Kluyveromyces lactis: one gene and its partners. The main gene of each other region encodes a partner of the protein of the gene in region 5 in a complex. Links are inferred from orthologs where the notes say so. Each region holds a gene or a part of one and is shown on either strand. Other genes may lie near its edges. The genes, in order: BET1, UFE1, USE1, SFT1 and SEC20.

What was found.
Region 1: SEC20 (region 5) and BET1 share a complex: the UniProt entries of both Saccharomyces cerevisiae proteins name them as parts of the SNARE complex. The link is inferred for Kluyveromyces lactis from reciprocal best matches to the Saccharomyces cerevisiae genes SEC20 and BET1.
Region 2: SEC20 (region 5) and UFE1 share a complex: the UniProt entries of both Saccharomyces cerevisiae proteins name them as parts of the SNARE complex. The link is inferred for Kluyveromyces lactis from reciprocal best matches to the Saccharomyces cerevisiae genes SEC20 and UFE1.
Region 3: the proteins of SEC20 (region 5) and USE1 are in contact, whole or in part, in a cryo-EM structure (PDB 8EKI), measured with the Saccharomyces cerevisiae proteins. The link is inferred for Kluyveromyces lactis from reciprocal best matches to the Saccharomyces cerevisiae genes SEC20 and USE1. Residues at the interface, in NP_010786.3 of Saccharomyces cerevisiae: Asp14, Leu17, Asn18, Leu20, Gln21, Cys104, Leu107, Ile109, Val110, Leu112, Lys114, Tyr121, Val125, Glu126, Leu128, Asp129, Leu132, Gln133, Asp136, Trp137, Tyr139, Cys140, Tyr141, Lys144; in NP_011417.1 of Saccharomyces cerevisiae: Asn23, Arg26, Arg27, Val30, Thr31, Gln33, Leu34, Gly35, Ser37, Asp39, Phe46, Gln50, Gln54, Phe58, Gln62, His65, Asp66, Lys69, Ile70.
Region 4: SEC20 (region 5) and SFT1 share a complex: the UniProt entries of both Saccharomyces cerevisiae proteins name them as parts of the SNARE complex. The link is inferred for Kluyveromyces lactis from reciprocal best matches to the Saccharomyces cerevisiae genes SEC20 and SFT1.

What each region holds. Positions count from the first base shown.
Region 1 is NC_006040.1:1,196,742-1,202,320, reverse strand, and holds BET1 (Bet1p), read right to left. Parts: upstream 1,993-5,579; coding exon 1,549-1,992; downstream 1-1,548. Other genes in the region: protein disulfide isomerase EPS1, read left to right, coding at 1-1,351; iron-sulfur cluster assembly protein CFD1, read left to right, coding at 2,399-3,250; VAB2 (Vab2p), read right to left, coding at 3,275-4,120; YEA4 (Yea4p), read left to right, coding at 4,635-5,579. UniProt on the Saccharomyces cerevisiae protein: SNARE required for targeting and fusion of ER-derived transport vesicles with the Golgi complex.
Region 2 is NC_006037.1:695,642-701,757, reverse strand, and holds UFE1 (Ufe1p), read left to right. Parts: upstream 1-3,579; coding exon 3,580-4,569; downstream 4,570-6,116. Other genes in the region: SGO1 (Sgo1p), read left to right, coding at 249-2,033; CDC21 (thymidylate synthase), read right to left, coding at 2,194-3,132; ribosome dissociation factor GTPase HBS1, read right to left, coding at 4,646-6,116. UniProt on the Saccharomyces cerevisiae protein: Syntaxin required for targeting and fusion of Golgi-derived retrograde transport vesicles with the ER.
Region 3 is NC_006042.1:638,079-644,050, forward strand, and holds USE1 (SNAP receptor USE1), read right to left. Parts: upstream 2,966-5,972; coding exon 2,183-2,965; downstream 1-2,182. Other genes in the region: snoRNA-binding rRNA-processing protein ENP1, read left to right, coding at 533-1,969; ribosome biogenesis GTPase LSG1, read right to left, coding at 3,853-5,799; RRT2 (diphthamide synthase), read left to right, coding at 5,962-5,972. UniProt on the Saccharomyces cerevisiae protein: SNARE required for targeting and fusion of Golgi-derived retrograde transport vesicles with the ER.
Region 4 is NC_006038.1:1,173,824-1,179,397, reverse strand, and holds SFT1 (Sft1p), read right to left. Parts: upstream 2,300-5,574; coding exon 2,264-2,299; intron 2,127-2,263; coding exon 1,869-2,126; downstream 1-1,868. Other genes in the region: ESCRT-0 subunit protein HSE1, read left to right, coding at 1-542; CAP1 (Cap1p), read left to right, coding at 955-1,743; RPL14A (60S ribosomal protein eL14), read left to right, coding at 3,717-3,845, 4,309-4,596; AUR1 (inositol phosphorylceramide synthase), read left to right, coding at 5,450-5,574. UniProt on the Saccharomyces cerevisiae protein: Vesicle SNARE required for retrograde transport within the Golgi complex.
Region 5 is NC_006039.1:1,041,806-1,047,937, forward strand, and holds SEC20 (Sec20p), read left to right. Parts: upstream 1-2,540; coding exon 2,541-3,629; downstream 3,630-6,132. Other genes in the region: ERG24 (delta(14)-sterol reductase), read right to left, coding at 1-681; NDJ1 (Ndj1p), read right to left, coding at 1,056-2,042; myo-inositol transporter ITR1, read left to right, coding at 5,043-6,132. UniProt on the Saccharomyces cerevisiae protein: SNARE required for targeting and fusion of Golgi-derived retrograde transport vesicles with the ER.

The DNA of each region.
Region 1 (5,579 bases), on a different chromosome or scaffold from region 5:
GAAGAGAAACTCTAGGTTAGAAAGAGCCCCGGAATTTGCATTGATCTTACCTAACCGCAAGAGTGGTAGTTTTATTAAGTTCCCATTTGGTCCAAAGCGTGTCGATAGCGAATCCTTGATTGATTTTGCTACAAGAACTTTACACAACAGTAACGTTCCAAATATTGATCAGGATGAGATCGAAGCTTTTGTAAAAGAACCAAAAAGTGACATTTTGGAAGCAAATGCCGAAGCCGATAAAATATTGCTTGTATTTAATTATAACCCGGAAACTGTTGTCCCTGAGGATATGCAATTTTTGGAACAACTCATTGACCCATTGGGATACATCCCTAATATTTACTTGTACAAGAACACTGACGACCTAAAGAAGTTAAGCCATACTCTCTATCAAACTCTGTACAAAGATTATAATACCGATCAACGCACTGAAATTAATGAGGACCATTTTATCACGACATCCATTACCCAATCACCAACGTTCTTCATATTCAAGAAATCTACGTTTACTCCGATCATATTCCCTGGATATTCAACAACTGAAACCAGAAATTTGGACTTCATCTTGGATTGGCTCACTATAAACTCTCTTCCAACTGTCACTGAGATTACATCCAAAAACTTTGAAGCATTAAAAGGATTTGAACAAGATTTCTATGACAAGTTGGTAATTCAATTGGTTAATAAGAAGAATAATAAGTTTGAAGAAGGTTCAAAGAAAATCGTCGAAGGCCTACGAGTAGCGGCACATAGTTATGAAATATTGCGTAACGAGGCGGTGTACGAAGGTCTTAAGACGGCCAGAGAAGAAAAGAAAAAACTGGTGCAAAAGCTTAAGAACAAAAACGCACCATCCGTTGATATAGTCACTGCCATGAGAAAAGAGATAAATTACAGTTATAATCACAAGGTCATATTTGCCTATTTGGACATTAATGAATCCCCTTCTCTCTTGAATAATAAAGGTCTAAATGTTTACTTCAGGAAGTTCAAGACTGGTGATATCATTGTCGTGGACAAGCAAAAAGCCATCTATTACGAAAAGGATGCTTCTGGACAATACATCACCCTAGAGACGTTGCCCGAAGTCCTCTCCATTCTGAATTTCCCCGCAAGACACCCTGATCTTCGTATTGAACGCATCTTTTTGAGAACTCCACTCAGTGGATTGCTCAGATTAATTGACTACCTCCGCGAATTTAGCGGAATCAATTACTTATTTGTTGTGGTGACATTCTTGGCGTTATGGAAAATACCCAGAACCATTCATCATTATAAACTGAAAAGACGTTACGCTGCAAAACGGGATACTCATGGTATCCTCGGGAAGGAAGCTAAGCTCATGGATTGAGGAACAGGAATTCTTCCTATAAATAATCTTATATTTCAACCTAATACTGATAGTTACGATTTATTAATATATCTTTTTAATGGTACATATAATGCGTGAAGGAATGCGTTTAACCAATACGAATTAGATATACATGCTCGATGGGATACTCTTCAGTACATGACCCTTTTGTGGTTTTTTATTTCGCTCTCGCTCTCTCAACGTATCCAGACGTAGAAGAACAAAAGTGTCAGAACACCAAATATTATGAACCATATTTTTAATGGAATGCGAGAATTCTGAGCCATCACCATCATTCTCTTGAAAGTCCTTTTCAAACGGTTGCTAGTCTGTTCAAAAACGTTTCCTAACTGATCTAAGGTCTGATTGCTACCACGAATCTCATCTCCCATTCGTAGAGATAAATTCTTTAGTGCGTTGATCTTTTCACTCATGGTATTCATTTGTTCATCACTTTGAGACTCGAGCTGCGAAAGTGTTGCTTGAGAATAATCTACCCCTGGGGATGGTCTATCAAACGGCGAACTTGGTCTATCCTGTTGTTGTTTATACTTAGAGAAGTCAGTACCCGCAAACAATTGCGTCCTACTCGCATCTCGCTGTGTCAAATCACCTTGCATTCCACTATAGTTTGAACTCATACCTTAATTATTTCTAGTGCCTCAACAATAAAATACAAAGTGTAGATTTGTCAAGATACTCAGATCTAACCATAGGGAATTAAGTGCAGTTTCACCTTGGAACTTCCTAGTCCATCTGTAAGCTACTACCAAATCGATTCGCTTAACGAAAACTTTTTGTTGAAGTTTAATCACGTGATATTGTCCTCGAAGGTTTCCCCTTCGCTCTGACAAAGGTATCATTATCATCATGAAATCCTAGTTAAGCTAAGAGTTAAATGTATTAGTCAACCTACTGTTTAAACGGCTGAGAAAAGTATTTGCAGTATACCCTTTTATAAGTATTCTGTCCACTGTGAGCATATACAGTCATATCTGCAGTGGCTGGTACGTTTAGTGTCCCAGGATCATAATCAATTGTATCTCGATGTCAGCTGAAACCGAATTATTGGGTATGCCTGAGTCCTTAAAGGACATCAAGCACATTATATTGGTCCTTTCTGGTAAAGGTGGTGTTGGTAAGTCATCTGTCACCACACAGACAGCATTAACTTTATGTTTAAAGGGATACAAAGTGGGTGTTTTAGACATTGATCTAACTGGACCGTCGTTGCCTAGAATGTTTGGTTTAGAAAATAAACAGGTTTATCAGGCTTCTAAGGGTTGGATACCCGTTAGTGTTCCTACGACATCAGGAGGGGAATTGAAACTCATGTCCTTGGGTTTTCTTTTGGATGATAGAGGTAATAGTGTGGTATGGCGTGGTCCTAAGAAAAGTGCTATGATTAAACAATTTATAAAAGATGTGGATTGGGGAGATTTGGACTATTTGATTATCGATACACCGCCCGGAACTTCGGATGAACATATATCTATCGCAGAAGAGTTGAGGTGGGCTGCACCTGATGGTGCTATTATTGTTACCACGCCTCAAGGTGTCGCTACGGCAGACGTGAGAAAGGAAATCAATTTCTGTAAGAAAGTCAACTTCAATATACTCGGTGTCATCGAGAATATGTCCGGATTTATATGTCCTCATTGTGCTGAATGTACAGATATCTTCTCTAGAGGAGGCGGTTTCAAATTAGCCAGCGAATATAACGTTCCGTACCTGGGGAATATTCCAATTGATCCGACGTTTGTCGAGTTGATTGAGAAACAGACTGGGTTCAAAGAGAGCTTAGTTGATCTCTACAAGGATTCTGGATTGTATGTCATTTTCTCAAAGATATTAGATAATGTACTGAACGGTGAAGTAAAAAGTGGAACAGATCAATAATGGGTAAATTTGACATGAAACTTTTCATAAGTCAGCCGATTTGCTCATGCCTCGAGGTCTAGTGAACGGTTCTGTGATACATATATGCTCAAGAGTTGTAGCGATTGATGGCCTTGATGTACTCCGGATTGATGACAGTGCTAATGGCGCCGAGGATATCGACTGACGGTACGATTTGGTGGTGTTTGAGTCCGCTGAATTTCCTTTGGTACTATGATAATCTTTTTTAGCATTATTTTGGCTTCCATTTGTACTTTGCCTCGAATAAGAGCTGTTCAAACTCTCGGAATTAGCTTCGTTCTGTGACTGCCCACTATTGTCCTTATTCGCTTCGGTTTCTGTCGTGTTACTACTCTCTGGGAACCTTTCTTGCAACAGCTTTGAAATTTTGCTGAATTGCGTCGCATCAACTTTTATACTACCGTTTCTAGTTACGTAGTCTAATAATTCTTCATTCACATCTCTGATTATTCGTACCTTCTTATCAATGTCAGAATATTTGCTTTCGAACTGTTTTAACTGTTTATCCGAATCCTTAGTGAATTTTGATCGTAGTTTTACTAACTTAGAAAAGCTAGACTCTAGTTTTTTTACCGAGTGGTTGATCTTGTTATTTACTTCTTTCGTCTGCGATTGTTCTGTATCGATTTCTTCCTGAAGTCTCGAATAAATTATGGCAACATCGTCACTGATTTGATTTACTTCCTTGGCCACATTGGAGAATATATGATCTTGTCTCAATGAAGAGGAAGAGGGAAGCAAAGGCAATGATTGCAACTGTTTAGAATAATCACTCTTTTCAATTGTCGCAAAGTGGAAGCTCTCTCGCTTCCTCAGGTGCTTCGAATCTCCATAGAATAGGAAACTCATCTTATAGCAGTTGGAATCTCAACCTTCAAAGAACCTTAAAGTTATTGATGGCACTGGGTCAGTACAAGTATAAAAATTTTAGCCAATAAATAATGGTTCCTGAGTACACTAATAGTTTAGTTCAACTGAGCCTTTCTCGCTGTTCTTTCTCTGACAAACGTGCCCTTAATACGTTGGTTTAATGCGTGTCTATTTTAAGGTTCGCATTTATGGTTCTTAAACGTTTTTTCATATAAAATTCAGGCAACCTCTTTACAATACATGTCATCATGAAAGAAAGATTGTTTAAGTTGATTTGAAATCGTTCCGGATGTGTAGTCTAGGGGTATTCATGGTTACTGAATTCAATTGGATTGATGAGATTAACTCTATTGGATTCATTTAAAGGTCAATTGATTGCTAGTCCTTTTTTTCCTATTGTCGATTGAGAGAGTTACTATATATATAGAAACCATTCCATGTGTTGAATACCCTTACGTTGACCAATTGATCTCATAATTTCATTTCTTTAGTAATGATAGAAATATTGGCTATTTTATCGTTGTTTGGTGGGTGCTGTTCCAATGTATTGAGTTTAGAAGAACTTTTACTAGATAATAAAGATCGGTTGGGAAATGTGGTCACTTTTACACAGTTTATATTCGTTATCCTAATTGAACTGCCGAAGTTTGTCAGCTTAAAAGGGAGGAAAGTCTCAATAAAACCCTGCAAGATACCGTTCTTTATCCATTCAACGTCAGCGTTGCTCTTTTTCATTGGATCTGTTCTTAATAATAACGTTTTCATGTACAACATTTCAATTCCATTACACATTGTCATCAAATGTTTGAGCACCGTAAACACCATGATTTTCAGTTCAATAATTCTCAAAAAGAGATATCCTTTTGCTCAAATTATAGCAGCACTCATGATGACTTTTGGGGCCATAATTACCTCTGTTTTCAGGTCTACTGAAATTACGTCGTGGCATAACTTTTTGGAAAGCTTTCAATATTCTAACGGGTCAAACAGGCTATTTCTCGGTATATTATTACTTTCATTATCAACGATGGCGATGTCATTACTCGCTGTTCTTAATGAGTATACCTTTCGTAAGTATGGAAGGTTTTGGGAAGAGTCATCGTTTTATTGTCATCTACTCTCAACACCATTGTTTCCAATTTTCACTCGTTTGAATTTGAAGAAGGATCTTCCACTATTGATGGAGTCAAAAGAAACAGTCCTGTTACCGTATACGAACATAAATCTTCCAAGAAAATTATTCATGTTGATTGCCAATAACTTGACCCAATTCATCTGTATTCAGAGTGTCAATTTGTTAGCAAGTTTAACTGACGCTCTTACATTATCTGTCATCATGCTTATCAGGAAATTTGCGAGTCTTCTTTTAAGCGTATACATCTTCGGCAACCACATGACAAAAACAGCTATTTCTGGGACTATTATAGTGTTTTCAGGG
Region 2 (6,116 bases), on a different chromosome or scaffold from region 5:
TCAAATTGCCCATTACATGTCCAACTTACCTCATTTGAATTAAATGTAGTACTAAATATGATCCGGGTAATCTTGTTTTTTTGTGTTTACATCGTAGAACAAAACGTAAACAATGAAAACATTCAAAGCTTTAGATCTCATTCAGCGTTTAAATAACCTGTTCATTGACTGAAAGAAGAGCGATTCCTAAGTCTATAGGGACCCGAATTGACGGCGGATAGTGTTACTAAGTTTTGTGAGAGTGCAACATGAGCGCTTCTTCGCAGTACGATGAATTTCAAGCTATGCTTGAGCAACAAAAGGGAATTTATTTACAGCAGAACAGTCAGCTTGCGAAATATAATTCCAGTCTTATGATGAAAATCACTGATATGGAGACTAAAGTGAGTGAATTGGTGCAAGAGAATGTTTCCTTACGGTCGCGGCTTTCTATGGGTGAATTGCGCTATCGTGAGAAGCTCAATACTGTTTTCCAGACGTTAGAGGACGGAATTGTAGAAAAATTCTTGCAAATGAACCAATTGTTGACCACAGTACGGGAGAGCCAGGGTTTAGAATCAGGTATTCATGATAACCCTCTTAAACCGATTTTGAGAGGCTCGAATGGTATAAGCCCGAGATCTGCGAAGAAAGTGGAGTTTACTGGTGCAAATACCACAACGAAACCAGTTGGGTTTGAGGATCCAATTGCGGAAGATAACCATGAAAATAGCGGGAATAGTCTCGAGCTGAATGATGATGAGGTACGACCTCTGAGAAAGAGGAGGCGTAAGAGTTCACGGAGAGAGTCGTTGTTCATTCCTGCAGATTTCGAGTTTAACGATGAGGACCCGGAACTAGAACTGAATCAACTGCCGATAACTGAGGATGAACCGCCGCCTAGTACTGCAGCCACCTCAGTACCTGAGGAAGAGTCTCAGGAGAACAAGCATACAAAAGAAGAGCGTGAAGACGAGGGAAAAGAGAATGTCTCTACGATACCTTTGGTACCGGTCCTTCCATCTGTTACTAACACAGGCACTGAATGTAGCAATACCAATAAAAATAATACTACAGAAATGGAAACTGCACTTGCCGAAGATGATTCTTACAATTTCACTACATCAGTCATTGAATATTCCATTCCAGAGGAAACTTCAACTCACGAGCATTCACATATCCTACTGGAAACGTCGAAATCGAAAATTGATGTATACAACGACAGAGAAGAGACAAACAACAATGAGGCTGATGACTCAATGAATATCGTCCAGTGCACAATCCCATCACAATCGAAAATTAAACATTCCATGAAACATCCTAGGACGAAACTGAAAGGTGGCCAAGATGATATTATGCCCCACACAGATTACGATAAAGATGATGAAAAACGAGAAAGAAGGACTAGAGGCAAAGCTGTCAACTATAAACTCCCATCACTACGTGCTAAGATGCGTAGACCCACTGAAAAATTGGTGGATGCCACAACTGTCACCGATATTCATGATTTACAAGTGAAACGTAGAAATAACCAACAACAGGGAATACCGTCTGATGACGATGATCAGGAAGAACTCTTAGTGCCTGCTGGCGTACCTGACACAAATGTCGTCATTGCAACAGTGGAAGAAGAGAACAGAAAGGAACCACCGGCTTTACCATTACATGAGATTCACCTTGCACAAAACGTTAAACCTAAAATCGCTCTGAAAGAATTATCAGCTAACGCTATCAACAGAAAAGTTAAAACATCTACTGCCGTAAAAGCAATAAGCCACACTAAATCGCGAGTGCTTAAAGATGTCAAGTTCAACACATTGCCCACAAAGCAACAAGCTATTGAAAACAACTCGTCCGATCCAAATGTATCTGATGAAAATGAAAATAGCAACGTGAAACCGACAAGAACTAAACAGGCTACTTCAGATCTAGCAGCATTTGAAATTATAGATGGAATTTCTCTGAAACATGTATCCAGGACACATCGTGTCAGAGCAAAAGAAGACATGAACAAAAAACGTAAAAGAATTCATAATGACGAAATAAGCATATGATAGAACTACCTCAGCATTCAACCCGTCCCATACCAACATTCGATACCAGCATATGGCACATATCATATGAATCTTTTTTTTTTTCCGGTATTTGAGCATGATATAGATAATATTAAGTACATACATTAGATAGACAAATGATACCAATTATCCATGATCCTCAAACGCTCATCTTCATTTGAATCTTCCCATGAGGGTTATAGTCAGTTATTTCGAAGTCTTCGTATTTGAAATCGTCGATATCACTGACATTTCTCTTTATCTTCAATTTTGGGAAAGCTCTTGGCTCTCTGGCAATTTGTGTCCTTAATGCATCAACATGATCTTTATAAACATGCGCATCACCCAAAGTGTGAATAAATTCACCAGGTTCCATATCACAGACCATAGCAATCATCTTCGTCAGTAGCGCATACGACGCGATGTTAAAGGGTACTCCTAGACCCATATCACATGATCTCTGATAAAGTACACATGACAATCTTGGTTTGGCACCTTCTCCCTTGGGGAAACTGACGTAAAATTGCGAGAAAACATGGCATGGCGGTAAAGCCATCTTGGGGAAATCCGGAGGGTTCCATGCAGAAAGAATTATTCTTCTGTCGTATGGATTTGTCTTCAACTTATGAATAATCTCCTTCAACTGATCAACACCTTGACCACTATAATCATCATCACATGTCTTATATTCGGCCCCAAAATGTCTCCATTGGAACCCGTAAACTGGTCCTAAATCCCCCTCTCTTCTGTCAGTCAACCCAAGTGAGTCCAGGTACTCACGAGAACCGTTACCTTCCCATATCTTAACGCCTTGTTCTGATAATTTCTTCCCGTCTGTACATCCAGCAACAAACCATAAGAGCTCCAAAATAATACCTTTCGTAAACACTCTCTTCGTAGTGAGAAGCGGGAAAGTATCATTGCTCAAATTAAACCGTAACTGTGGAGGCGCAAAAAGGGAATAAGTCCCTGTACCAGTTCTATCTGGTCTGAATTCTCCCTCATTGATAATCCTTTCACATAAATCCAAATACTGCTGTTCTTCCGCGTTAACAGCCTCAAGCTTAACTCTCTTCACGTTTTCATCGCTCAGCGTCATGGTTGACAAATGTTGGTTGTTTAATGATCCGATAAAACGCCAAAGGAGTCGAAGGATGGTTGAAGTAAGATAGAGTTTAAACTAGAGATGGCCTTTAACTCTTAAAAGCCGTAGTCTGATTCTTAACGCGTTTTCGTGTTGTGGGAATTTTTCAATGGCCGGGTAATGATGGTGAAACAATGTCACGTGCTACCTAAATTCTTAATTCCATCCTCGATGAAGCTTTGGTCTGGCAAACGAATGCGAATCAAATTTAACCAAAGGTTACTTTGGTTAAGGAGGTACCGTTCTACTGGTAATTATACTGTCTATTAACTGTCCAATTAGAGGCAACTATCGTGTGTGTTTACCCTATCTAATCTGGGACTATAAGCGTTCCTTGTTCAAGCTTTTCTATGTTGAGTAAGTGTCAAAAAGAATATATACAAAGAAAGTGACTACCTTAATATGAGTAATAGAACTGAGCTCTTCAAAAAGTACATGCAAGTGATTGCAGAGACTCAGGGAATTGATGATGCTAGGAACGAATTGAATAATACGAAAGCGAGAGAGGATAGAGAAAAGGTGAAGGAAAAGTTTAGTGTAAAGGATACTTTTGTAAAAGAAAGTAAGCAGTTGATGAAACATATTATGGAATTCCAGATAGTGATAAGGCAATTGACTCCCAGGTACGAAAGTGCTACTGACATGACTGATCAGGAGAAAGATGATTTTGATACAGAGAGCAAACTTCAATTACAGCAATATTTCGAGAAATATAAGCAATTGGAATCGTATGAAAGACAGAGACAAGAAATGATGAAAGAAAAGTTAGAGAAATGGTCCGCAACCGTACCATTTTTCTCTAGATCAATTGACGATGTATCCAGTTTCCACAAGGTGAATAATCAATTTCGTATGGGTATATTACAGTCATTGAATATGTGGCTCATGAAGATTTCAGATAGGTTGTCAACCATTCAGCAGACACGATTATCCAGACAAAGACATATCGAAGCCATTGATTTCAATGCTCAATTACACTTACCTGAAGAAATTTCTGTATCACAGTCTCCTATGATAACGACAACTGTTGAAGAAATCAAACAGTACGAGGAAACGATGTCCAAACTCTCTTCAGAACAATTACAAATCTTGGCCACAGAGCATGAAGAACTTCTTAATTTGAAGAACGAAGAATTACAAAAAGCAGAGGCACTACGGAGAACCGCAGTAGATATTGCATCGCTACAGAGTGAATTGGCTACACATTTGCAGGTTCAAACACAAAATATTAATACATTGCTCGATAATCAGACTGACGTGGAGATGGAAATGGAAAAAGGTAACAGACAGTTGAAACAGGCCAACAGGAAAGGAGATAGGCTCGCTAACATGGTCATGTGGTTTGCTATAATTTGTGGACTGCTATTGTTATTCTTCGATTACATAAATTAAGGTTAATTCGTTTCTCTCTGTTGCAATTGCTTACTACACGGTGATACGTAATGGTGTATATATGTACGGTAAGTTTTTAATAATCTAAAGATTTGATCAACGCAGCTCCGATTGTTCTTCCCTCCTTTCTTAGAACCACCCTTCCTAACTTCTTATTTTGCTCGAATGTTAGCATTGGGATTCTTCTTTTTTTCTCCACCAGCTCGATCTCAACTATGGCAGCTTGTTGAGAACCCAAATGCTTCACTTTCTTTTTTAAAACCTTAGATGGATTACTTTTATCGACAGTACAACACAATTTTTTGATTCTACAAGGTTGTTCTGTAGCACCTCTAAAGAGCATGAGCGAGGTACCAGGTAATAACGGTCTATCCAGCCTGAAAGTCAAGAGTCTTGAGGTAAATTCTTGGGAGCTTGGGATATCAAATCCAACGATAGATGCCAAATCACCACCTTGAATATCTTCAGGGAAGGCGTTATGCAACTTCAATTGGACAAAGTCTCCATGTAATGCAATATCCACTTTTTGAGAGTCATTGCCGCATAATATTGAATCAACAACGCAACTCTGCTCAGATGGATATATTGTGATAGTTTCGCCCGGTTGAATAGTACCTGATTCTACTTTACCAGATATAATGGCGGATGTATTTTTGGAAGTTGGAGTGACATCCAAAATGTTGAAGAGGAAAGGCTCTTTGGTAACACTTTCATCAACACATGCTAGCTTCAAAGCAACATTTTCAAGTTCCCCAACGAGACTTGGTCCCTGATACCAAGTTTGAGATGGCGGATATGGGGTTTTGAAGATACCCTCACCACTTAACCCGCTGCATGGAACCCAGCTTACATCGTTACCTTTGAAACCGATTTCTTCGAAGAAAACAGCCAATTCTGATCTAATGTCGTTAAATCTACCTTCGTACCACGATACAGAGTCCATTTTATTCATGGCAACAACGATATGTTTAATTCCGAGACTTCTGGCTAGCAATGCGTGTTCTTTAGTCTGACCATCAAGGTTAAAACCTGATTCAAATGCATCGGTTCCACAGTCTACTGAAAGAACAGCGACATCAGCCTGTGAAATCCCAACAATTGCATTTGGAACAAAATCTCTATGACCAGGAGCATCAACAATGGTGAACGAACTTTTAGTAGTGGCAAAATCACTAGTACAAATGTCAACGGTAACACCCCTATTTCTTTCCTCTGAAGTTTGATCCATGACCCAAGCAAGATGGAATGAGGACTTGCCAATCATTTCACTTTCCTTTTGCAACTTACGAATCAATTTTGTATCAACAGCACCAACGTCGTATAGTAGACGTCCCATCAATGTGGATTTTCCTGCATCAACGTGACCTAGAACTACAAAATTCAAATGAGGTTTCTTGTTGTCGAGGTAGGAAGAAATATTGATTGCATTTTTAGGTTTTGTAGGAACACTCACCTTCTTGTAAGTCTTCACAACAGGCTCTTCAAAAGGTAACTTCTCATCATCATCGTCATCGTCATTGATATCCTCTTCTTTTTCAACAGTTTTT
Region 3 (5,972 bases), on a different chromosome or scaffold from region 5:
ACAACTCAAGGGAGAAGCTTGAGTGAACAAGAGACCAGCAATGTGTCACCACGCATATGAGATCACATTACACTTGATCCATTGTTAATTATATATACGTAAAACGAATCTAAGCTGCAGTTGAAAAATCTTTCCAGATTTTAAAGTCACGTGCAAAACAAACAACATTCTTTGCCTGTAATCATTAGAAGAACATAGCTCTTGGCTGTTTACAGTAGCTTGAATTTGTGTTCAACGCTGTGGCATATCTGTTTCAATCACGACGATCCCGCTGCCAATGCTCCAGAGTTATTTAATTGAACCTTTGACTTCTCTAAACAGAGTATCTCTAGCCTTTCTTTTTCTGTCCGTGCATTGACTGAAAATTTTTGGGATTTGAATAAGTAACGATGAGATGAGAAGCGATGAGATGAGATGAGATGAGATGAGATGAGGTAAATGGCAGATAACAATCACAAAATTACTCATTAGTGTCTGCTTTAGTGCTCAGAATACGACTAGTGATACAAGATTTATTTGTTCTACGGAGAAAATGGGTAAAGTAATGGGTGGCAGCGGTCGTAAACAGAGACACGATCCTTTATTGAACGATCTTGACTCTCAACATGGTAAGTTGAAAAGACAAGGTAAGAAAAAGATCGATGCTAAGGATCAAAAAGGCCATGAAGATGAAGAATTTGTCGATGCCCAGCAATCTAGAAAAATTTTGCAATTAGCTAGGGAACAGCAGGAAGAATTAGAGGAAGAGGACGAGCAGTCTCTGCAGACATCCAGCCAAGGAATAAACAGATTCTGTGTGGCCAACTATGCGGATGAAGATGATGTAGCTGAGGAAGAGGAAGCTCAAGGTAATAACATATCTGACTTTGAACCGGAAGATGAAGACGATTTCGAAGGATACGAGGAGGAAGAAGTGGTAGAAATTGACGAAGAAGATGCTGAAATGTTTGACCAATATTTCAAGACTTCTGCTGATTTCAACTCTGCCAATGGATCATATAACCTTGCCGATAAGATTATGGCTTCTATTAGAGAAAAAGAGATGGAACTACAGTATAATGAAGAAGAAGCAGGTGATGCCTCTGCAGTAGCGGAACCAGCTGCACCTGTAGATCGTACAGAAGGTGTCGCCTTACCACCCAAGGTGATTCAAGCATACCTTGCCGTTGGTACCATTATGCAGACCTGGAGACATGGTAAACTACCCAAACTATTCAAAGTTTTGCCTTCTCTAAATAACTGGCAAGATGTTCTCTATGTTACTAATCCAGAGGAATGGTCTCCGCATGCTATATACGAAGGTACTAAACTTTTTGTTTCTAACTTATCATCTAAAGAGGCCCAAAAATTCGTTATAGCTGTGTTGTTACCACGCTTCAGAGAAGAAATTGAATTTAACGAAGATCACAACTTAAATTACCATGTCTACCGTGCATTAAAGAAATCATTGTATAAACCGGCTGCCTTTTTCAAAGGGTTCTTATTCCCACTTGTGGAATCCGGTTGTAATGTTAGAGAAGCTACCATTGCTGCAAGTGTGTTATCCAAGGTCTCTGTGCCAGCTCTTCATTCTGCTGCAGCATTGTCCTACCTTTTAAGATTACCTTTTTCCCCAGCCACCACCGTTTTCATCAAAATTCTACTCGAGAAGAAGTATGCTTTGCCTTATCAAACTGTTGACGAATGTGTCTTCTACTTCATGAGATTCAGAGAAGTCACTGATGGAAGTACAGGCCAAGATGCCGTCAGAGTCTTACCTGTGGTATGGCATAAAGCTTTCTTAGCGTTTGCTCAACGTTATAAGAATGATATTACCCAAGATCAAAGAGATTTCCTACTTGAAACTGTTCGTCAAAGAGGTCACAAAGAAATTGGACCTGAAATCAGAAGAGAATTATTAGCCGGTGATAGTAGAGAATTTGTCAGTGATGTTGGTAATAAAGCTGATTTAATGTTTGATGTTCTGTAGTCAATAGTCCTATAACAATATAAGTGCCTGTCAATTTTAAACAAGTGTATAATATGCAATTATAGATAAGACAATCAATAGAATCAATCTATTCGATAAGTGGAAACGGTATCAATTAATTTCATCGAATATTCATGAGTCTATTTTGTACTTTGAAGCTTTTGAGTGAAGCAGAGCCTTTATCTAAATCTTGGAGATTTTAGCGGAAGACACTCATAAATCTGGAAATACTTTTATTACAAGATAGGTGACCAATAGACCAATTATAATAAACGATAAAAGTCCTAACTTCATTAAAAATCCAATTTTTTCATTGTGATACTTTTTCAATCTGGATCCGAGTGAAGAAAGGCTCTTAGAAGTAACATGCAATCCGATTTCTGCTGCCTTAAGAACAGTAGAGTCGTGTTCGATAGCATTCTGGAAAGCTTCCGCACCTTGTCTTAAGCCTGAAACTAGCTGGGACATGTCTTCAACCAGTTCCTTCTGAAGATCATCCTGAATTTGCATTTGTTTGTCAAATGATTCACCCTCCGTATCAGCGCTGTCCCTTCTTTTACCCATAAGCCTTTGGCGGAGCTCCTTCAAAGAATCGTTGTCATTAATTGCTTCAACATTGGATATTATATCAACATCGTCCTCATCTCCTATAGGCACGTCGGGCGTTGCATCGAAATCAACACTATATCGCCTTTTCTTTTGAGATTCCTGATATGCATCATATTTCTGTTGCAACTTAGAAGCTTTGGAGAAACTGATAGAGCTAACCGATTCCTCTAGTCTGCTAAAGTTTTTCTGGTATCTATCAATAGCATCAGAAGACGGATCATCCAAGTTATCCTTTATAGCCAGTTTTCTCACGGTATTTAAGTTTGTGGCCAGTTTTGTAGATATAAGATAATGGTAAAAAGGGTCTTCGTCATCTTGAAAGAGCGAAAGGTCCCTGTAATAATTTTTGCGTAGTTGATCACTTAATGTGTCTAAATCTGTCGTCATATTCCGTCAGTTAATGTCCTTTAACGAGGCGCTATCCCTTTTTATTTGTGATTGGAATTGTACTAAGTATTATTTTAAAGGCTATATTACATTTTGTTTTATGTCACTAAAATATTATCCCAAACCTCAATCAAAGAAATAACAGAGCTGTCTGAATGAAAGTCATTCACTCTGAAGCATGACCCTTGCCAACCCTTACAAAAGCGCATGTAAGAAAGAGTGGACCGAGTGCTACTTAATGTATCTACCGATGGTAAGTATAACATAAGGCTGAACTTGGTTAACTATTGCTAAATCTTATTGATATACAAATTCATACGACTCTCATAATATTTCAGAGGAAACTACTGAACCAATTAAATGGGTAATATTTCCGCCCACCTACTATCAAACTACAAACTGTAGGAATTCAGTTGTTGTTAGCGAAAAGGGCGTTAAATGGGAGTATCCCAGCTCTGGGCATCTTGAGCTTACTTCTACATGCGTGGAATAAGTCTGCGCCATGATAACCACAACGCGAACCATAATTGAACATGCCGAAATGTGTTTAAGAGCCCTTGTTTGCTGAGCTAGGAACCAAAAAGATAACCACAAATGACAAGAATACTTATCAACTGGACCATGTACTGAGGTCAAGTATAAAGTAAACCAACTTTAACCAAGTTTTGTATCCTTTTCTTTTGGTTCATCAAATTTTTCAGTAAACACCGGGTAATGCAGTGACAAGTTGCATGCTAACCATAGGTCTTATAACCGGAAGCAGGGCAGCTAAGGAAGATATAAAGGATATGCAGTTACATTTCCATAATGAATGGGGATAATAGACTGTGCAAACAGTGGATTTATATATATATAAGAGTTTAGGATGAATTTAGATAGTACTTACATTAATCGGAAAACATGGAAGCCTTTTTCTTACTCTTCTTGTTCTTCTTGTTATGCTTCTTACCATTTTCGTTGGCGACGGTTTGCTTATGGAAAGGGTTCGTAAGTCTGCCTTGAACACCGTTCAAATGGAAGAAATTTTTGTCAAGTTCATCAGCTACGTTGTACAAGGCTGCTTGTTTACCACCATGGTTGACAGATTTAGCTTGTACTTTATCACCATCACCACCAATATGAGCAGAGAACGTTAATCGACTTAAATCGCGAGCAAGATCCAAATCTTGTATACCTTTGTGTTTGGCAGCTTCTGCAAGTTGCTCTTGTCTGTTGATAGGTAATTTACTGAACGTGTATAAATCTTTGTTGAATTCCTTACATTCTTCTCTGGTATATGGCGTATCATCGTCCATGTGAGGCGGTGGATTAATGTACAGGAGTTTACCGTTCACATAATCTTTGAGAATGTAACGAGAGGCACGAGATTCATCTGCGGCACCAAAACCTTGTGTCATATAACCACGAGCTCTGGCATAAGCAACGAGTAATTCTTGTGCAGTTGGTACTTCACCATTCCCACCCTCTTCTACGGATTTGGTCTGAATATGGATACCGTAAATGGCTTCCAAAAAGTATTTAGGGACCCTTTCTGCCACTAATGTCGATGGCCCAATATAGTCACGTAACTGATCGATCGGTAGAACACCGTTACACACCAATTCACCTTTATTGTATGCAAAATTAGGGAAAACTAGACCTGGACAGTCGCATAACGTTACCTTATCAGATAACTTGATAGTTTGGAAATGTTTGGTCTTACCAGGGGTAGAAGAGACAGAAACTTTCTTGGCACCCACCAAGGCATTTATAGTGGAAGACTTACCAACGTTTGGATAACCCACTAGACCTATTTGTATGATTGGCTCTTGACCGGGCAATGGAGGAAGTAGCGGATCGTTTGGCGCTTTATCTAAGAACAATTCTTCAAGTTGATCGATCTTCAGTATGTTAATTTTATCCAGAATTTCTTTGTTCACTTCTTCCCCATCAAGTTCTTCAATTTCTTCCTCTGTAGCCAGTATTTCCTCATCGTCCTCTTCTTCAACGTATTCATCCCCTAGTTCCTCTTGTCTCTCTAATATTTCATTAGCCTTGGCAGCAGAAAAGAATGTAAAAGAGATGCCCCTCGAGAGAAGGTACTTGGCCCAAATAATACGTTGCTTTCTTGTTAATAAATCCGCTTTGTTGATCAAAAGTAAATTCTGTTTCCTGTCATCCACTTCTTTCACATATTTCTCTAAATCTGTGGATCTGAATAATAATGGATCTCTGGCATCCACGATTTGGACTACTAGATCACATCGCTCAACAACTCTCCACAACTGCCTCCAAACTTCAATGTTTCTCTCGAATGGAGTCAATAACAAATCCTCGTTGTCTTCTTGCAAATAGGCTAATTTACGTCTCCATTCCAAGAATGCTTCCTTTTCTAACCTTTCTAATTCAAATCTGGTCATAGATTCATTCCACTTAGGCCTTCTTGGGACAATCAACTCTCTAGCATGTAATCTCTGCTTCTCGTTGATCTTACTTTTCTGCTCATTGGTCAAACTAAATCCCTGGGATGTGGCTGCATCGGCACCGTTATCCATTCTGATGATCTTGACATTAGAATGTCTGTCCGCTGTGAAATCCTTGTCTGCTAACTCAGCAGTACTCAAAAATTCATCTAATGCAGATTCCTGAGTAACAGATCTCAATTTTACCCAATTAGCTTCGTGCTTATCGGTAGTGAAACGTTCTTCACCATCTGGCAAATACTGCACTTCATTTTCCTTACGTCTTGCAGTTTGAATTGCCTTACCTAACCCAATAGTGTTTTTATTCTTCCTTTGAATAGGCTTTGGACCCTTTGGAGGTTTCCACTTCTTTGTTGTTTCCTTTGGTGGCATGCTGCTAGTCCGTGTTGCTTGTAGACCTGCCGTTAACTGCTAAGATTGTTGTGCTGATGCTTTGCTTATGATGAGATGAGCTGGTTAACATATTAAAATTTTCCGCTAGTACGTAAAGTGTAAAAAAGAAATTGTGTGGTAAACCTGAACTAGAACAGATGGATGGCTCAACA
Region 4 (5,574 bases), on a different chromosome or scaffold from region 5:
ACGGATCAGTTTCACCAATTCGCCCACAGATATCAAAGATGCTTGGTAAGTACGCTCAGAAGAAAGAAGATCTCGTATCATTACGTCAAATTTTGGCTAATGCTGAAATCACATACAACCAGTTGCTAAGTCGAGCATCTAATGCTTATGCTTATTCTGCGCCTCCGCCCGCGCCTATGACGGGACCTGCACCAACTCCAGGCCCACAAAGTCCAATGTCACCAACTGCTCAATACACAAGTCCTACAAATACACAAACGCAAATGAATGGCATACCAAATCCGCCATATTCATATCCATTACCTCAACAAACTCAACAAATTCAACAGTCTGAACAAACTCAGCAGCCCTTGAGTCAAATAAACTCACCTCAAAATTATGCGAGCTCAGTCGGTAACACCAATTATACTGGTACGAACCATATCCCACAGCCATTGGCACCATATCCTCAGTACACCGGTATGTCAATGCAGTCTATACCTCCGCAGCAACCTCAAATGCCTCAACATTATAACATGAGCTCTAACAGTAATGCTCAGTAGTGGATCTGTTCTGTTTCATGCTTAATCTGCACTTCTATATAAAAATACTATCCTATGATAAGCTTATTTCTTTGCACATACGTCAAGAGAGCATGTTTATTTAGTTGTAAGAGTATTTAAATCTCAATATATTGCCAAAACACATGGCCTTACGCGCCTTCCATGTCATTAATCAACTGCAGCTCTTCCCTAGTACAAGTCATGGATAGCCTAGGTTCCTTCAAATTTAAGGTCCCTTTTTCTTTCAAAAAATAAATGAGACGAATAACGATATCGTAAAGAACTCTTAAGTTAAAATTTACTACAGTTATAGGCAAAAATCTACCAGTGAAGAAGTGGATTTAGAGACAATTAACCTGTCATTTTAAGGTAAATTGTGGTGAACATCAATTCACACTGTGAAAATCATATTATGTCTGAATTTGAGAAGATTGTGAGAGATATTGTATTCGATTCCCCTCCAGAGGAAATCTCTTTGGTTTACGATAATCTACAAGTGTTAAGCGATGGTCAAAGCAAGCAACAGATTGCTTCAATTATCCAAGAATTCAATGAGAAGCACAGAGTGCCAGCTGCTAAGGGTGAAGAGAGATATCTTGTGTCTGAATACAATAAATCTGGAAGTAAATATTTCGATCCAGTAAACAAGGTTTTATTTGCCGTAGACCATATTACCCGCGAAGCTAGTGATATTGAGGAATATACCAGTGAAGATGCCACTCAGGTACAATCAGACCTTTACGATGAATTGTCTAAATACGTTTCAAACTTCTTCCCTGATACAGCTGTGTTCAACGTGTTTAAGATTCCAGAGAGCGACCAATATGCCATAATCGTTGTCAGTAACAAGAAAAGTTTAGGTGATTTCTGGACTGGTTACTGGTTATCAGAATATGTGTATGATGTCGATGGGGATACGATCTCTGGCGAAGTCTCCGTCGATGCTCATTACTTCGAAGACGGTAACGTTCGTTTCAAATCAACTGCTTCCTTGGAATCAGCACAGACGGATTCACCAATAGTAAGCATCAAGCAGTTTGAGAACGAGTTTGAAAAGAATCTCATCAATAAGTTCCAGTACATGAATGAAACACAGTTCAAGGGATTGAGAAGAAGATTACCCGTGACTAGAGCCAAGATCAACTGGGGACAAGGGATCGGTAATTACAGATTGGGAAGAGATGCTGCTCAAGGTGCATGAAAGGATGATGCTATGACATTACATTACCTGAATGTATACATATGTGTATATACAACGAATATCTTCTGCTTATTCAAACTTCTTCCTATAAAGAAGAGTACTTGCGGTCAGTAAGCAAAAGGTTCTTAAAATACCTTATATATCGTGTACAATATGAAGAAACACAATAATGATACACCCACCATACGCCATATATTATTACCGGCATTCATAGATCTCTGGAGCCTTGTAGATGAGTTCTTGACATTAAGGAAAAGTTGACCGAATGAGTTCTGTATATTGTCGATAAGGGAGCTGTCATTTGCGGCTTGATTTCCAATATCTTGGTTGATATTTCTGAATGTAGATAGTTTATTGGCCAATTCGTCTAACCTTTGATTATTCTAAAGAAAATGTTTGAGCGTTACGTTAGTAAATTTCGATCTTAAAGTGGCACTTGCATACCGTACAGTCGGTAAGGATACTGCGCCTGTAGGTTCAAGCCTATTCTGCCATCAAACGTCTTTTTGGTAGAACATACATCATTTTCCACCTGTGAGTACTTGGAATCCGACATGGTGAGAGTTCACTTTATGCAAGAGTGGCTCTATATCGCGTTCTAGTTGCTAAATGTGAACGTTTCGCTATAATATAAACTCTGAGGTGCACTTTGATCCTGCCTTTTAAGGTACAGACAGTGTTTCAATTCTATCGCTCATAATAATGGGAATTGAATCTTCAAAACACGTTAGAAATGATATTTCATTTCAGTCAGCGAAGCATAGCGAAAGGTACAAGAAAGCTACGGTGAATACAAATACTATACATGACGCTGTTAACGGTACAAAGCGAAAACCATAATTATCGAAATCAGAGTAGATCTTGGTGTTTGTTAGTTTTATAATTTTCATATGAAATCAACGTTAGGCAACTGTTTTCATCTCGTAAAGATAGTTATGGTTCGCTTTATCCTCCATACCTGAGAAATATGTGGTATATATAAGTATGATCACAATTGGAACATGACTAGGTGCAGAAGTACACGATAATTATCTCCTCACCTCTGCTGAGGTGAAAGAAAGAGAAGAATTAGTTATAATGAATGTGTTGTAATGAAAGGATTCTTTTCTATAATAGTCAGACCGAAAGTTATTCGCATACCACAAGACTCCCATAATGGAACTAGGCATGTCCCGAGATGACTTGCCCTCGATCGCAAATTATAAAACATCATTCAAAAGAAAAGAAGCGAACCCCAAAACCACGAAACATTATGATAAGAATTCTTCTCAAATCCATACTTCCTGCTGCTAAATCTCAATCATCACTAAAACTAGGTATAGTAATAGCAGTGGCTACTGCTCATGCTGTTACTATTATTATTAAAGTGACGAACAAGCTTCATACTTGAAACACAATCCTAATATTAACTGTCTAACAATACCACCGTTTAATCGTGTGAATACAAACAGCATACCTCATCTCATACGCTCTCTTTATATATAATTCAATCAGCATGCGGACATTGATAACAATTTTCGTGGGACTGCCCTTTTATACACCTGTACATCTCATTATATTTCAATAATGTCCTTTAAACACCCAACCATTACATATTTTGTTGCGCCTGTGTTAGGATGAAAATGAATTCGTCCTGTAATATAATACCTAAATTGGAATAGGTATGTATTTTAAACCCGTAGCCCACATACATTGTTACCCACGCAACTTTTTCATCAATAAGCACTCCAAGGTACTCTGCGTCCTGGATTCTGACAATAGCGAATTCCAGCTTCACCGGATAGACACGCACAGACACACAGGGCTGCGTTGGAAGTTTGAGTTTGGAACCAAGGTTTAACAAAATTGTTTGACTACTTTATCTGTTACACTATTTGAAGGTATACTATAATAACGGTTTAATACTTACTATTACGTTATATTAGATTAGGTTTGGTCTTGATTTACAGAACGGAAGAAGAACCAAGTGAAAGATGTCCACTGATTCTGTTGTTAAAGCTTCTAACTGGAGATTGGTCGAAGTTGGCCGTGTTGTTTTGGTTAAACAAGGCCAATCCGCCGGCAAGTTGGCCACTATTGTTGAAATCATTGACCAAAAGAGAGTATGTTTTACAGATTATAATGAAACGGAGATTCCCTGTACAGTACCATCTTTCCATTTGAAATAAGAACAGATATCGATCACACTGCGATCTGGTATTCTTATGCTTTATTTGGGAAAGTTGCATAGATGTATAGGATCGAACCGAAGAATAATATGAGGAAGAGGAAAGAATGATTCATGATAAACTGTTTCCCGAGTTAAAGAAAGTATACTTTGAGAAATGAATGAAAAACTATTGTACTGAACAGACATCGAGAGAGAGGTTTAGACTACGTTTGTTTTCCCTCCTTCTGGTAAGGTTAGGAATGTGTCGTTAATACTCGATGGCTCTCGTACTTGGTATGAACATGACAGTCCTTTTCCTAGTTATTTTTTTGTTTCTATCCATAAACTCGTATCGAACAATTTTTACTAACAAAATATCCATGACATTAACTTGTCTAATTTTAATTTCCTTCCAGGCTTTGATTGATGGTCCAACCACTGGTGTCCCAAGACAAGCTATCAACTTAGGTCAAGTCGTTTTGACTCCATTGACCTTTGCTGTTCCAAGAGGTGCTAAGTCTGCTACTGTTTCAAAGAAGTGGGCTGCTGCTGGTGTCTCTGAAAAATGGGCTACTTCTTCCTGGGCTAAGAAGATCGCTCAAAGAGAAAGACGTGCTGCTTTGTCTGACTTCGAAAGATTCCAAGTTTTGGTTTTGAAGAAGCAAAAGAGATACGCTGTTAAGAAGGCTGTTGCCAAGGCTTAAACTTTTTAAACTTTAATCGGTTTATTATGAAGCTTTGCCAATTCCTTTCATTAGCAACAATTACAAATTCAAAAATCTCTTTTCTTCATAGAAATAACATTTCTCACTCCTCATTTCCTTAAAGTCTTTTGAGGCGTATGACTATCCTCACTATACATACATATAATTTTAAAGTGAGGGTTTTCAACTCTTATCAGTATATATTATTATAACAATAATATAATGTACATCTAAATTACTCGTGTTTACACTGTTACATCATCGAGGTCCTTTGTTTCATTAACATGTCGGAAATTAACGGTAATCAGGATTTACTTGTATGTAAGGTTTCTAAACTGCTAACTGTTGCTTTTAGACCTATATTGTTTAGTTTCTTAATACGTTGAACGTTTCTTGATTCTCAAGGAAAAGAAACAAAAAAAAATCAGCATCGAAATAAAACAAAATAATTGATAAATAAATAAATACATAAACAAATAACAAACAGATGGAAAGGGTGAACCAGGGTACATCATCGTTGTCAGCCCTTTTATTGACATCAGAATAAAAGTTTTTGAGAAACTACGGAAAGCAGTTGTTATTTTATCTCTTAACTCACTACTTTATACCAAGAAAGCATTGGACAAAGACGCTTTTACAGTTTTTTTTTGTTGAGTTTTTTTTTAATATAGAGAAGTGGACGATATCGTTAATTGAAGCTTTCATTCCACTGAGTTACGAATCAGAGAGCGTACGATAGATTATATTCAACTATTGCCGTTGTTATAGTCGTGTTTTTTTATTTTTTGGTTATTGTTTTTTCCAATTAGCGTCACTGGTTTTTTAGTGTACTAATCGACGCATCTTTAAAACAATGGCAAATTGGTTCCAACGAACCTTTCTTGCTAATAGACCGGCTGGTTCTAGATTGGCTAATTTAGAAACGAGTTTTAATCCCAAATTAAGCATACGGAAACTAAAGAATTACCATGCTTCAGC
Region 5 (6,132 bases):
TAACAACATACCCGGTCTTAATTCTGCAAACATCTTGATGTCAAGAGGACCAATTCTGGGATTCAACTCTCTTCCAATGAACCAATCATACAAAATGTTCCCACTGTTGCCCCCCACAGCAAGAATACGTTCTTTAGTTCCTTTGCCATTTGTTCCCCATAATGGCACGAAACTGCCAATATAGACGAAGCAAGCCAACAAGAAAGAAAACAATATAGATATTATGCAGATGTCCGTTTGATGTTCGAATAAATACTGTAGTTCAGGCATTTCACCATTAGTCAATTGATATCTGACAGCTAAAACTAAAGTAAGTGCCATTGACACGGCAATTCCGTTAATCTTATATGGTAGCTTAGACCCATCTCTCAACTCGACACCGTAGAGTTTCGTGCCTGGTAAGAGAACATCCAAAACTGCTAGAGAGAAAAACCATGCAGAGTAATAAGTCCAAAGCTCACCATTGAAGAGATAACTGGATAATGGATTTACCTTGTTCCAAACTTCGATCCAGCTAAAGTTTCTGAATAGCCCTACGATATGATAGTCGGGTCTGATCAACTGGTTCAAGATGACAGTTAGAATGGGTAAGAAAACTGAAATCAGAAGGGCTCCGACCGGTCCAGAAAACTCATAATGAGTGGTCTTAGGATTTAAAGCTGTCATTGTTGCTAAGGACATTGGGTATTCAGCGCATTATAATAATAATATATACTAAATGCAAAAGTGATTTAGCCTTCTTTCTCTTAATTCTGTACTTTTCGCTACTTTATACTATTCTTTTTTTTAAGGTTCATGCTTGAATACGAAAATTGCTAAACGACGAACACATGCAAGGGTTCTATTTGAGAATGTAAACCGCTTACTTAACACGCACCATTGGGCAATCCTCTAATCCGGTTTTTTTCTATTGCTAACCTCCATTAGAAGTAAGGTATGTCATCACTGAAATGATAAGCGAGGTCTCCCTTGGCAGTGTCGGAACAGTAAACGAGCTATTACAGGTTCATCCACTAAAAATGTTATATTTTCTGGATACTCGGCATGTCATTAACCTAAAAAAACCACAAACAGGTTTCAAGAACGCTCATATTGCAGAATAGCATATATTTTGTCACAAATAATGTAATATTATCGTCATTCTGATAGCTATGGCTAGGGATCTGTAAAAGGTCCCAGCTATGGGCGATACCGTTACATAGAAGTATAAGTCCATGCTCTGCATTTATCCAAATTCCGTAAGTTAGTTTGGCATTCACCTCATCTTTTGAAGCATAATTTAAGCAAGTTAAATGGTCCAATTTTTCAGTGAAATTATCAATCGGATCACAGCTCATGATGAAGGTGTACTCCTTATGATATCTTTGTAAAGACCTCAAAAGCTCCACTCTTGTCAGCCGCTTGGCATTTGACCAAGCAGAATATTTGAATGTAATATCATAGAATAAGTCCCGAATGTATGCCCTTGTCAATAGCCCAAGATTTTGCTGAAGATAAATCTGGGCATATTTAGGATGTCTTGGTTTTTGAGCTTCGAAATTTTCCATGATTTTAATGAACTGTTGCCGATACTCTTCACATAATCTGTTCATTTGAAAATGGTCGTAATTGGTCTTTTGTAACAGGCGAGGAAATATTGAGCACTCATAGGAGTAGTGATCCGGCCAATGAGATTCACTTGACACCAACGTTGCATCCATTGAAATATTTTCATCAGCATAAGAAAATGGTCGTATATTCAAATAATGCTGATAAAGTCGATTCTGGCGTGGTTCGAATACTTGAAATGGTTCTTTTTGATGTTCCGATCGTTGAGTTAAGGTTATATTTGGACAATTTAACAACCAAACTAGTAGACTATAATTTCTTGACTCCCTAGCAAGCCTAGTTCTCAAAGTTTTGATAAATGAGCTCGGCGGCAATATCCTTTCTGGATCAAAATTGTCCGCAATCAGATGGGATCCTTTAAATAAAGACAAATTAACATAACAAACTGTCTCCTCATTGTTACTACAGTCATAAAACTCGTCTAATTCGCTCATTTCGAATTGGTTTGGGTTTTTAAGATAGATTTCTTTATATTTTACTGATTGTTGAAATGAAGATGATAAATACTTACTGACATTTTTTCTATTTTTTTGTCTTTGACCTGAATTTTAAACTGCTAAATTCCCATATAAAGATTGAATGATGAAAAAAGCTCAACTGTAAACCTTAATTAAAGATACTTTTATAGTATTGCATTTCTACCTACATCAAGTTAAAGGTGTCATTGGAATGCGTGTTTTAAAATCAACTAACTCGCTTTAGGGTCGGTATTACAAGTGCTCCATAAATCAAGGCTAGCGCCATTGTCACGTATCCGGGTAACCAAACATATCCTTCAGTCTAAAAAAGATCAATACTTGATATTTACCAATAACAATTTCAACAATAGCAGTAACGGCAGCAGCAACAGAAAAGTTGTCGTAAAGGTTTTGAACCTGAAAAGCATCCGACATCTTTATGGTATAATCACATAGAAAATAAGAAGATAAGCAATGATGTTAGTATCTGGAGAATCATTAGAAGCTAAAAGAAATCTCTTGCACTCTTTGTTTTATGAGAGTTTATTCAGGGAAGAACAAAGTTCTAACACCAATGAAGACCTTGATGATAAGGTTGTGAGTGAATTGCTTACGTTTGAAGATATGATCCGTAGCTTTCAGCGGATAATTGAACTGAAATATGGTGTGAGAATACGATACGAGCCAAAATTCACGATAGAGAGAGAACCGAGCGGAGTCGATAAGCATGATGAACAATGGATCGAACAAGTCAATGAACTAGTGAAAAATGTTGATTTTAGGAAAGAGCTAATAGAGAAATACGAGGTTTCTTTAATTGAATCACGTATGATGCTCAAGGAAACGTTGAGCGATGCGTTGCAAAGTAAACTCATGGAACGTAGAGGCAGTACAACTTCCATTGATTCTGATTTGAACAGGTCAGAGATAGATCGTGACGGAAGCACAAACGGCATACAGCTACCGAATACAGCCACTAATATCAAGGGTAAGACGTTACAAGTAAACAAGAAAATCACGTCTAATCTACTTCGTACGAACCAAATCTTACGTAGCAGCGTGTTACAGAGCGAATTGAATATCGATGAGTTGAAACAACAGACGGATACCTTAATGTTAGTGAATGATAAGTTTGACAGGTTCAAGGCAATGTCACAGGCTTCAACAAAACTCATTAAAGCCATTAACAACAGCAGCTATCAAGAGAAACAAAAAGTGTACGCCGCAATTGCATTTTTCTGTGGTTGTATAATGTGGGTTCTATGGAGAAGAATATTCAAATATCCAGTTAAATTTACCTTCTGGCTATGTTTCAAATTCTTCAAATCGCTACTATACACTGTAGGGATAGTGAAAAGTTCTGTGTCCCCAAATCAAGCTTCTTCCAGCTCCACAGTGGTTTCTGCAATTTCCTCAGTGACAGATACTATTTTAGACCAAGCTTCCTCCTCAACAAGTCTTCTGAAGGAGGTATTGTCACAAACAGAAACAGAACTCACATCATCTCTAGATGTATCTCAAGCAATCAGCGATAGTTTCGATAAGCTAATGGACGAGTTATGAAAGGAAAACAGTAATCTAGGGAAATAGTAAGAGCCCGTTGAAAATCCAGAAGCAATTAGAGTTCCAATCACGTGATTTGTTTAATTTCGAGCCATTACATGTGCTTGTGTATTTGTGTTTTGTTTTCACATGTCGTTCTGGAGAAGAAAATATTCCATACCGTACGAAGGTGTCTAAACAAAGGGAATACCTGAAAAATTTTCGCCGAACATGCACCGTGGTATCGCCGAAAAGGGAAATCATTCTGCACATTTTCTCGAAAAGCAACAAATAACTGAGGTAAAAATCTCGCCGAAACTAAAATAGGCTTTTCGCCGATAGCGCAATTCGGTAAAAAGGCTAAACTGCCTTCGTTAGGTTAAATGCATTTAAGTTTAGTTAATAGCAATTTCATTATCTAGATTTGACGTGGTTCGTATCTCCTTCTTGTCGTGGTAAGGAAAGGCGTACAAGGAACGAACTCTTCGAGACCGACGATGTAGTTTTTCCCCCTGCGAGTTGGATAAACATCAAACATGGATACCTTTCTCTTTTCAGTATCTATGTTTCGTCTTCCGCTATTTCCTCTACAGTCTTGTTTGTGCCTGAATTTTTCTTTGTTTTTCTCTGCAAGAAAAAACCATTTAAATATAGTGCGTTCATGACAATTTTCGATTTTCTTGTCCCTTCTGAGCATCTTTTCGGTATTCTGGGAGAGAAAAATATATGATATAGAAATTCTGTAAAGTTTCAAGGATCATACAGCCAGGTCATATAGAAACACAAAGAATCACCTCTTCGAATCAGTTTCTTTATCAGGTAAAAGACCATTTTATTGTCAAAAAGGAGAAACTAAACACGGGTTTCTGTTTACGTTTTAGAGTTGGTTGATAGGTTGTTTTTTATTACAGAAATAAAAAGAACAAATTTGAAATTAAAGAGTGCTTGTTTCGGTTTCTGTTCGAGGGTTTTCTATTGAACTTTATTCTCTCTTTTCGCTGATTTCCTACTACGAGTTTTCAAAACTACGTCAAAGTTTTTTGCTTATTTTTGTTATATAAGTGCTGCATTTTTGGTGTTGTAGTTCCGTTAGCTTTTTGTTCTGATTATCCTTTCTGCATTGGCTTTCTTTCACAGAACGATCATTAAGACACACTCCACAAGGAAACGCGACTAAAAGATTTGAGAAAAGACCTTCCATCTATCTTCAATTTTACAATAGCTTCTAGTTTCCGGACGTTATCTTGTTTCAGTTGATTAGATACCAAAGAAAAGAATAAGCAGTGTTTCTTCCTGAAAACACTTAACAACACTGTCATATCAACTGTCAGTACTCCTTGGAAACATTTAAACATTCGCTTCTGTATAAGTTTCAAAAGGTTAAGCAGAAGGCTTTTTGTTTTCCCCATCTATCAAAAAGAGAAAATAACAAAAATGAACGATACTTCAGAGCATTCCAGTGATGTCTCTCCCATCATTTTCGATGATATCTCTCAAAGCAAATTGAAAGACTCATCTGAAAATGAAACCACGGATAGAATCATTATCAAACCGGTCAATGATGAAGATGACACTTCAGTCATGATTACTTTCAACCAAAAGATTTCTCCGTTTATCTTGATCTTGACCTTTACAGCATCTATCTCTGGTTTCATGTTTGGTTATGATACTGGTTATATATCGAGTGCATTGGTCTCTATAGGTACGGACTTGGATAATAAAGCTCTAACATATGGTGATAAGGAAATAATTACAGCTGCAACATCTTTGGGTGCCTTAATCTCAGCAGTGTTTGCAGGGATTTCTGCCGACATTTTTGGTAGAAAACCTTGTCTAATGTTCTCTAATATTCTTTTTGTCATTGGTGCTGCGTTGCAGGTTAGTGCACATTCATTTTGGCAAATGGCAGTAGGTAGATTAATTATGGGGTTCGGTGTCGGTATTGGGTCGTTACTAGCGCCATTATTCATTTCTGAAATCGCACCAAAACATATCAGAGGTAGACTAACGGTGATAAACTCACTTTGGCTAACAGGTGGTCAATTGATCGCTTATGCATGTGGTGCTGGGTTGAATAAAGTTCATAACGGTTGGAGAATTTTAGTCGGACTTTCTTTGATTCCAACTGTGGTGCAATTTACATGCTTCAGCTTCTTGCCAGACACTCCGCGTTTCTACGTGATAAAAGGTAACTATAAGAAGGCTGCAGAAGTTTTACAAAAGAGTTACATTAACGCTCCCCAGGAACTTATCGATCAAAAAATCCGTGAACTATCAGATTTGAATGAGGCTATCCCAGGTAAGACCCCTGTACACAAGTTCTTCAACACTGTCAAAGAATTACATACTGTCCCATGCAATTTCAGGGCATTGGTGATCGGTTGTGCTTTACAAGGTATTCAACAATTCTGTGGTTGGAATTCTTTAATGTATTTCTCTGGTACTATTTTTCAAACTGTTGGTTTCGAAAATTCTACTGCAGTGTCTATCATCGTTGCCGGTACTAACTTCGTATTCACTTTAG